3 linked regions of the Callithrix jacchus genome follow. The protein of the gene in region 2 purifies or fractionates together with the protein of the main gene of each other region. This does not show direct contact. Links are inferred from orthologs where the notes say so. Each region holds a gene or a part of one and is shown on either strand. Other genes may lie near its edges.

Region 1 (2,642 bases), on a different chromosome or scaffold from region 2:
ACCCTAAAGCAGGGGAGGGGACCAGCGTAGAAGGAAGCCAAGCCCTGTGGGTGTGTCACTGTGAATTTCATTATCATCAGGGACCAATGAATATCATACAAGAGGAGCCAGTGCTGAGAGGGCAGAGTGAAGGAGCAGTGGGAGAGTAGGGAGTGTAGAATGCCAGAAGGAAGGCTTCCCTGAGGAGGTGTCTTCAGTCCTATTCTGAAAGGACAGGGGCCATGACTGGGGAGATAAGTAAGGTCTCACTAGGTAGAGTAGCACAGCCTTCTCCATACGTCCTCTCTCCCCTTAGCCCCAGGCCCCACACAGCAGACCACACATCTTATCTCCCCTCCTCCTCCTCAGAATACCAAACATTATGAGCTGTTAAACTACAGTGAGCATGGGACAACGGTGGACAATGTGCTGTATTCATGTGACTTCTCCGAGAAGACCCCGCCAACCCCCCCAAGCAGTATTGTTGCCAAAGTGCAGAGTGTCATCAGTAAGTTGGAGCAGAGGTCTGTGGCCACAAAGCTGAGGCCCCAGTCAGGGTGGTTCTGACTTGCTGCCCATGGTCTGTCTCTTGCCTTCCCAGTCCTAATGGCCAAGCTCTCCTTCCTTGTGGGCCCCGGGCAGACCACAGAGAAATAAGTGCTGAGTACCCTCGTGTGTGTACACACCTGTGGGGCCTTCAGACTCCACCAACCCTTTCGGAGCATCCCGTACCCTTAGTCATGTAGCAGTTGGAATGGGGAGATGCAGGATCCCAACCTTGGCAAACAGTCCAGATGGGTTGGCTGCTCACCGTTCCTCTTCTGTGACCATCCCCCTTTTTCTCAGGGCGCCGCCGGCACCAGAAACAGGATGAAGAGCCAAGTGAGGAGGCAGCCATAATGAGTTCCCAGGCCCAGGGGCCGCAGCGGAGACCCTGCAATTGCAAAGCCAGCAGCTCGAGCTTGATTGGGGGCAGTGGGGCCGGCTGGGAGGGCACGGCCTTACTGCACCATGGCAGCTACATCAAGCTGGGCTGCCTGCAGTTTGTCTTCAGCATCACTGAGTTTGCGACCAAACAGCCCAAAGGGGATGCCAGCCTGCTGCAGGATGGGGTCTTGGCCGAGAAGCTCTCTCTCAAGCCCCACCAGGGCCCTGTGCTGCGCTCCAACTCTGTTCCCTAGGACTGGCGGCTGCCCCGCCACTGGCCTGTACACCCAAGACTCCTGCAATGCAAAAATGTACACAAATCAAGCCCGGGTGTTTTCTATACTCTACCAGAAACCCTTCAACCACAATCTTTGCATGAAATGAAGAAAACCTTTTGACTGTTTTTTAAAAATCCTTTTTCTTTTCTCAAGTTCTAGGGGGCATTTGCACATATATTTGTACTCAACATTTCGTGGGAAAGCGGCAGACCCGAGCTGAGGAACAGCGTGGGCAGGGAGGGAAAGACCCATGGTCTGGACACTTCCTCCAACACAAAATCCTTCCCCACCCACCTCCTGCTCCCTCCCCCTCGCCCGCCGTTGTAAAATAATCAGAAACTTGTTCTATTTTGTGGCAGTGACAATAGTTTTATATTAAAAGAAATACAGTTTTCATACAGCAAAATCTATACAATATCATTGTTTTATTTAATATAAAGATCGCTACCCACTTTCCTTCCATGGTTCCCATCCTCCAAGTTATTTTTTCCCCTTCTGCAGCGGTTGCACTACAGGTAGCTACTGTGTATTATGGACAAATGAGAAATGAATTCTTTTTCTGGCTGTCCATCTATTTTATTTCAAATAAGGAAAAGTGTATTTGGATTTTGTGTAAATACATCTAGTGATGACATTTTTTCAATGTTTTTAAAAACCGTGTACAGTACTACATGTGGTAGAGCGTTTTCTCAAATTGTCTATTGTAGCAAAAATGTTTTTGTCGTAAACCTGTTTCGTCTCCTTTTTTTGTTCTCTTGCCACTTCTCTCCTCTTCCTCCTGCCCCTGATACCCTCCTCTCCTCCCACCCCCACAACTAGTACCAATGTACATAGTAATTGTAATGTTTTAGACTTTACAGAAACTTTCCTGTATTCTGTATATAAAAAACAAAAATAATTCAAATTATGTTTTCTGACTGTCTGTCCTACCTGTCATCACCCTTAGAGGAGACCCTCCCTTAGATCTGGGTCCAGCAGGTGAGGGACCTTTTGGACGGGTCTCATTTCCATAGCGAAGTTTGGGAGGGGAGATGTTGGAGAAAAGCAGGTCAGGGTGGGTGTAGGACAATGGAAGGACATGGGTGCATCTGCTGGCCGGGGGACTTTTTCCAGAGAACCCTGACTGATAGTAGAATCCAGTCTTGACCCACTTCCAGTCATGTGATTCGCAGTCACACCTCTCTACAACTGCTATTCCTCATCAGAAAACGAGTCTGCTGCATTAACTTAATTATCAAGTCCCGGGATGCTCATTAAACCAAATACCGTGCTTTCGTCCCAGATCTTAGGAACTTTCTCCAGGAAATTTTCCTGAAGAGAGCACCTTTGTGTACATTCCAGCAGTGTCTGTGTAGATGCACCTGCTTGCATATCAGGATTTTGCCTTAGGGATAGAGAATGAATATTCTATCCCCAGCCTCATCCTCAGCATCTACAGTGGAAACCATCCACGATGCA
Region 2 (3,575 bases):
CATATAGGTATTAACAAAACTAATATATACTAAACATAAGAATGGTGAGTAACATGAGTCCATTTTTTTTTTTGAGACAGAGTCGCACTCCGTCACCAGGCGCCAGGCTGGAGTGCAGCGGCATAATCACAGCTCACTGCAGCCTTGACTTTCCGGACTCACGTGATCCTCCCACCTTAGTCTCCTGAGTGGTTGAGACTACAGGTGTGCACCACGATGCCCAGTTAACTTTTTCATATTTTTAGCAGAGTCAGGGTTTTGCCATGTTGCCAGGCTAGTCTCTCAACTCCTAGGCTCAAGTGATCCTCCCACCACAACCTCCTAAAGTGCTCAGTTGACAGGCGTGAGCCACTGTGCCTGGCCCAAATTTTCAATTAAGTAACAACAACAACAAAAAAAGATGACAAGATCAACACAGAACATTGTATATGCAGTACAATATAATATTAGCAGGCGATAGTCATTTATTTTGCATATTGCGTATCACAGAGCCTGATAAATATCAGTCTCATTAACAAATATACAGTAACTTTTAAAGATAACTTTGAGGTCTGTCATTTCCATTTATTCAAATGTGCATTTCATTTTTTTTTGGAAATGGAGTTTCACTTTTATTGCCCAGGCTGGAGGGCAATGGCGCGATCTCAGCTCACCTCAACCTCTGCCTCCCAGGTTCAAGCAATTCTCCTGCCTCAGCCTTCTGAGTAGCTGGGACTATAGGCACATGCCACCATGCCCAGCTAGGGCATCTATCAAACAAATCCTCCATTGGAAGCAATGTTTCCCACCAAATTCATTTTAAATTCCTAAATTCACAAGCCTCTGCTCTAATTTCTAAACCAGCATAAGCCTCACCTTGCTCAAAGCATACAGATCCAGGATTTTTCTCTCTACCACAGGGATCTTCAGAGTAGATCCTTGAAGTTCCCAAAATTTTGCTAGTTGATCCAAGAAATCCAGTCTCACTCTGGTCATTGCCTAAAATTATTAAAATACAGAAATAAGAACTAAGTTATGATTGAAAGGAATGAGTATAACAGAGCAGGGGTCCCCAAACCCCAGGCTGTGGACTGGTACCCATCAGTGGCCTGTTAGGAACCCAGCCGCACAGCAGGAGGTGAGCAGCAGCAGCGGGCAGGTGAGCAGCAGCAGCGGGCAGGCGAGCAGGCAAGAATTCCCACAAACCCTACTATGAACTGCATATGCAAGGGATTTAGGTTGTGCACGCCTATGAGAATCTAACAAATGTCTGATGACCTGAGATGGAACAGTTTCATCCCAAAACCATCCCCCATACTCCCATCCATCCATGGATAAACTGTCTTCCGTGAAACCAGTCCCTGGTGCCAAAACCGCTGGGGACTGCTGTAATAGAGGAACTCACTTCTTTCAAGAAATTCAAAGACTTTTCATTATTGCTTAGTCCAACCCTGTAAAACCAGCCAATAATAAAGATGCAAAAGACTTCTAACAAACTTTATTCATTCAGGAAAAAAAGTTACTCTGATTTATTTTAAAAGTTACACTGGCAACCAAAACAATTTTTTTAAGTTTGTTCAACTTTATGCTGACCAGAAAATTCAGTAAATCGGATCCTCCTCACTGTCTAACATTCTGTCATTTCATCCACAGGTAAATATGCACACTTTTGGTGCGTCAACCCTCAACCTCACTTATATTGAGATGCTTCATCAAGTATCTAATTACAAGAGACTAAAAAGAAAAAATACGTATTGCAGCCAGGCACGGTGGCTCACACCTAGAATCCCAGCACTTTGGGAGGCTGAGGCGGGCGGATCACCTGAGGTCTGGAGTTCCAGACCAGCCTGGCCAAAATGGCATAACTCCGTTTCTACTAAAAATACAAAAATTAGCCGGGCATGCTGGCTATAATCCCAGCTACTGTAAAACTAGCTACTAGGGAGGCTGAGGCAGGAGAATCGTTTGAACCTGGGAGGTAGAGGTTGCATGAGCCAAGATCACACCACTACAGTCTCATCTGGGTAACAAAGCAATACTCTGTCTCAAAAAAAAAAAAAAAAAAAAACTATGTAGTAAACTCTCAGAAATGTTTTGAGGGAAAAGAAAAAAAAACTCAGAATGACATAATAAACCTTTGCTATCAATGATTTTCCTTCTGTACTCTAAAAGTTTTAATATCATAATGAAGAACCTTCTAAAAATCAGCAGACAAGAAAAACAGCAACACATAGTCTTCTATTTAGAAAACGTAAGATAAATCAGTAATACTTAGAGGAAGATCTTTAAGTGTGTGTGAAACGGAGTCTCACTCTGTTGCTCAGCTGAGTGCAATGGCACGATCTCAGCACACTGCAACCTCCACCTCCTGGGTTCAAGCAATTCTCCTGCCTCAGCCTCCCAAGTAGCTGGGACTACAGGGGCCCACCACCACACCCAGCTAATTTTTGTATTTTTAGTAGAGACAGGGGTCTCACCATTTTGGCCAGGCTGGTCTCGAACTCTTGACCTTGTGATCCACCCACCTTGGCGTTCCAAAGTGCTGGGATTACAGGTGTGAGCCACTGCACCCGGCCAAAGGAAGATCTTAATAAATCAGATTAACAGTCCTGACAAAGTTCCATTAAAATCGAAACCAAAACAAAAGAAAAAAACTTTGAAAACTAGGATTTTAAAACAGGATTTAAAAATCCATTTTCCAAGAACCAAGGAAGACAGAATCTTCCAAGATTTACAAAAATTTTAGCAGAGTAAGAAACAATAGAGAAAGTAGAATTTAGGAATTCTAAGTCTCTGAAGCTAAGCATTGAATATTTCCACTAGAAAAACAGAGCTACAGATAGTTTCTCGTGATCTCAGTTAAATGGAAAAACCGTAACTGCTTTGCACAATTTTTTTAAAAAGCATACTCTTCCTCCAAACATCAAGTAACTATTCCAGTCAGTACCAATTAACACAAACTCTAGGCTATGCAAAGTTCTCTACCTACAGCCCTAACAATAAAGAATAAATCAGGAAGAAGAAATGGTGACACAACACTTACCTCAAGTTCATTCAGGCGCTGGACTCTTGGAGTGAAACGAAAGCTTTTTACTTCACAGGCGAATGGAGGCTGCCAGTCCTAAATAGAAAGTGTTTTTTCAAAACACAGTGGTATGTAAGCAAAGAATAGGTTATTTATTCCCTTAAAGGGGGTTTTTGCCACAAATCATGGTGATAATAGACTAACTTATAAGTCTTCTTTATTACAGAAACAAAATGAGCAAATTTTTTAGATAAAATAATTTTAATACAGGTTGAGTATCCCTTACACGAAATGCTTGGGATGAGAAGTGTTTTGGATTTCACTTTCCATATTTTGGAGTATCTGCATATACATAATGAGATATATTGGAGATGAGACCCAAGTCTAAATACAAAATTCTTTTATTTCACATAAAGTTATACATGTAGCCTAAAGGAAATTTTATACAATATTGTTAATAATCTGGTGCATAATGCATGTGTACACTGGACCATGAGAAAGGAAAGGTGTCACTATCTCAGCCACCTGTGTGGACAATCTGTAGTTGTCTGGCATCACCATAATTTCTGAC
Region 3 (2,439 bases), on a different chromosome or scaffold from region 2:
AAATAACTGATAGCACTCAAACTCCCCTAAAATGCCTCATATTTTCTATAAAGCCCTCTAATTTTTTTGTACGTAATAACACTTAAGCTTTTTCTGTCATGGGCTGAATTGCATTCCCCCACCACTCTCTAAATTCATATGCTGAATCCCCAATGTGATGGTATTTGGAGATGAGACCTTTAGGGAGGCAATTAAGGTTAAATGAAACCACAAGGGTGGGGCCCTCATCTGATAGAACTGGTGTCCTTATAAGAAGAGACATCAAAGAGTTCTCCCTCCATGTGTGCACACAGAGGAAAGGCCACATGAGGACACAGCAAGAAGGTGGCCATCTACAAGCCAGGAAGAAAAGCCTTCCCAGAAACCCTTGTTGCCAATACCTTGATGTTGGACTTCAGCCTCCAGAACTGTGAGAAAGTGACTTTCTGTTGTTTAAGCCACTCAGTCTGTGGTATTTTGTCATGACAGCCCAAGCTGACTAACATACTCCTTTACGTAATATTGGAGAGTTAACTAAGTTAAAGAACCTGTACTATTTGTCAAACTCACCTATGATATAGGAGGCAGGATCAAATTGGTCTCTGGGGCTGGAGAGAGTGGGAATGAGCCAGGTCAGTGCTGCACTCTTCTCACAATACTGGTCCTGGATAAAGCCTCTGATCTGAGCATAGTAGGGCTTTCCATCTTGTTCATCAATCACAGAAACAACATCACCAATTTGATAATATACTCCCTGGGAAAAAGAAAGATAATCCCACATTGAAAATAAAAATAGAACACCACAGCTATGAATGAACCTTAATAGGTAAGCAAGTTTTCAAAGTGGTCAATGAAAGGTGTTCAAGGTAGTCTAATGGATAAATGTTTATATGTTTGGTGCCAATTCTAAAGATGTTTCACTTTTGAATGAAAATTATACATACACACATGAGGGTGCATGTACGACAGTTTACATCTAGAGAAAACATTTGTTCATAGAGTACTCTGATTTTTTTTTTTTTTTTACATAAGGACAATTTTAATCCTGCATTTTCCTGTAGTAACATCCACTACTAGCTATCTATGGATTGAAACTGCATTTGCTAAGAACTGTGAACATGAAGAAACTTTACATGTAGTCACACGCTGATACAGGCACAGACATCTTCCAGCACGAACAGAATACAAGCATAACACATACCAAATAGTCTCAATGGATAAATTTGCTTCACCTATAGTTCTATTTAGTAAAATTCACAGTTAATGCAGAATTTCATTTTTCAATTTTACATCTTTATTACACGTTTTCTAATACTTTATTTAAAAAAAAACACTCATTCAAGATTGTAATTTGCATGGCAATAAACAGTGGTTTCATGGGTTCCAAGTTTCTTAAGGGTCCACAGAAATTTAAAACACCACAAGTCTCCTTTCCAATTTGCAGCACCTGACTTAAAGTTTAAATTCATATAATGCATCATTAAAACTGTCATTTTTCTCTTGTGAGAAGACGTGTTTCAATTGCTATTTCCAGGATGATAGATTGAACATGGGTGCACATTTTTAATTGGCTAGCAGAATTTTACTCACATAATTTATAGCCAGAATAAGAACCTCTAGCCTCTCTGAACGGCCTTCCACTCACAACAATGATGATGATAAAAGTCTAAAATTATGATGATAAATTTCTAAAATAAATGTCTGGGATGCCCCACTTGACATTACCAAACATGTTTCCAAGTAATCTTAGAAAATATGATTCTTTAAACATATGCATAATATTCTACCACACAATGTGCCATCACTTCTTTAACCATTTTCCAAATGTTCATTTATAACATTTACAATTTTTTATTGTAAATAATATTGTGATGAATACTTTCATCCATAAGTTTTATGCAAGGCTGATTATTTCTTCTAAGTCTTCTAATATCAAAGAAGTGGCTTACTGGTTCAAACAGTGCACATACATGGTTTTAAAGCTTTTAGTATACTTTACCAAATAATCTCCAGAATAGCTTGAACAATTCCTACCAACAGTATGTTGCCCACAGGATGGACTTCATAACAACAAAGCAAATTCAACCACAAATCTATTAGATTCTCATACATCTCAAAACCATCACATCAAAGAAGCAAGGAAATATATTACTGGTAAGGAAGCCAAATTCAAACTCTTTTAAAAAAAATCACTCAGCTTTAGATCAGTAAAATAATCAACAAAAATGCTCCCCGCAAAAGGTCTACTGGGTTTTTCAAAAAAATAAAGTTAAAAAGAGATAAAGAGAAAGTCAGGCTGGGCACCGTGGCTCACATCCAGCACTTTGGGAGGCTAAGGCGGGCAAATCACAAGGTCAGGAGTTGGAGATCAGCCTGGCCAACATGGTGAAACACCGTCTCTACTAAAAATACAAAAACTTAGCCAGGCATGATGGTGGATGCCTGTAGTCCCAGCTACTT

The links.
Region 1: the proteins of KDM5A (region 2) and PHF12 purify together in Homo sapiens (affinity purification with mass spectrometry; 3 studies listed by BioGRID and IntAct, with this or other methods). This does not show direct contact. The link is inferred for Callithrix jacchus from reciprocal best matches to the Homo sapiens genes KDM5A and PHF12.
Region 3: the proteins of KDM5A (region 2) and GATAD1 purify together in Homo sapiens (affinity purification with mass spectrometry; 6 studies listed by BioGRID and IntAct, with this or other methods). This does not show direct contact. The link is inferred for Callithrix jacchus from reciprocal best matches to the Homo sapiens genes KDM5A and GATAD1.

The regions. Positions count from the first base shown.
Region 1 is NC_133506.1:104,706,682-104,709,323, forward strand, and holds the end of PHF12 (PHD finger protein 12), read left to right. Parts: intron 1-348; coding exon 349-487; intron 488-825; coding exon 826-1,160; 3' UTR 1,161-2,088; downstream 2,089-2,642.
Region 2 is NC_133510.1:13,559,754-13,563,328, forward strand, and holds part of KDM5A (lysine-specific demethylase 5A), read right to left. Parts: intron 3,101-3,575; coding exon 3,023-3,100; intron 979-3,022; coding exon 856-978; intron 1-855. UniProt on the Homo sapiens protein: Histone demethylase that specifically demethylates 'Lys-4' of histone H3, thereby playing a central role in histone code. Does not demethylate histone H3 'Lys-9', H3 'Lys-27', H3 'Lys-36', H3 'Lys-79' or H4 'Lys-20'.
Region 3 is NC_133512.1:57,164,706-57,167,144, forward strand, and holds part of GATAD1 (GATA zinc finger domain-containing protein 1), read right to left. Parts: intron 734-2,439; coding exon 550-733; intron 1-549. UniProt on the Homo sapiens protein: Component of some chromatin complex recruited to chromatin sites methylated 'Lys-4' of histone H3 (H3K4me), with a preference for trimethylated form (H3K4me3).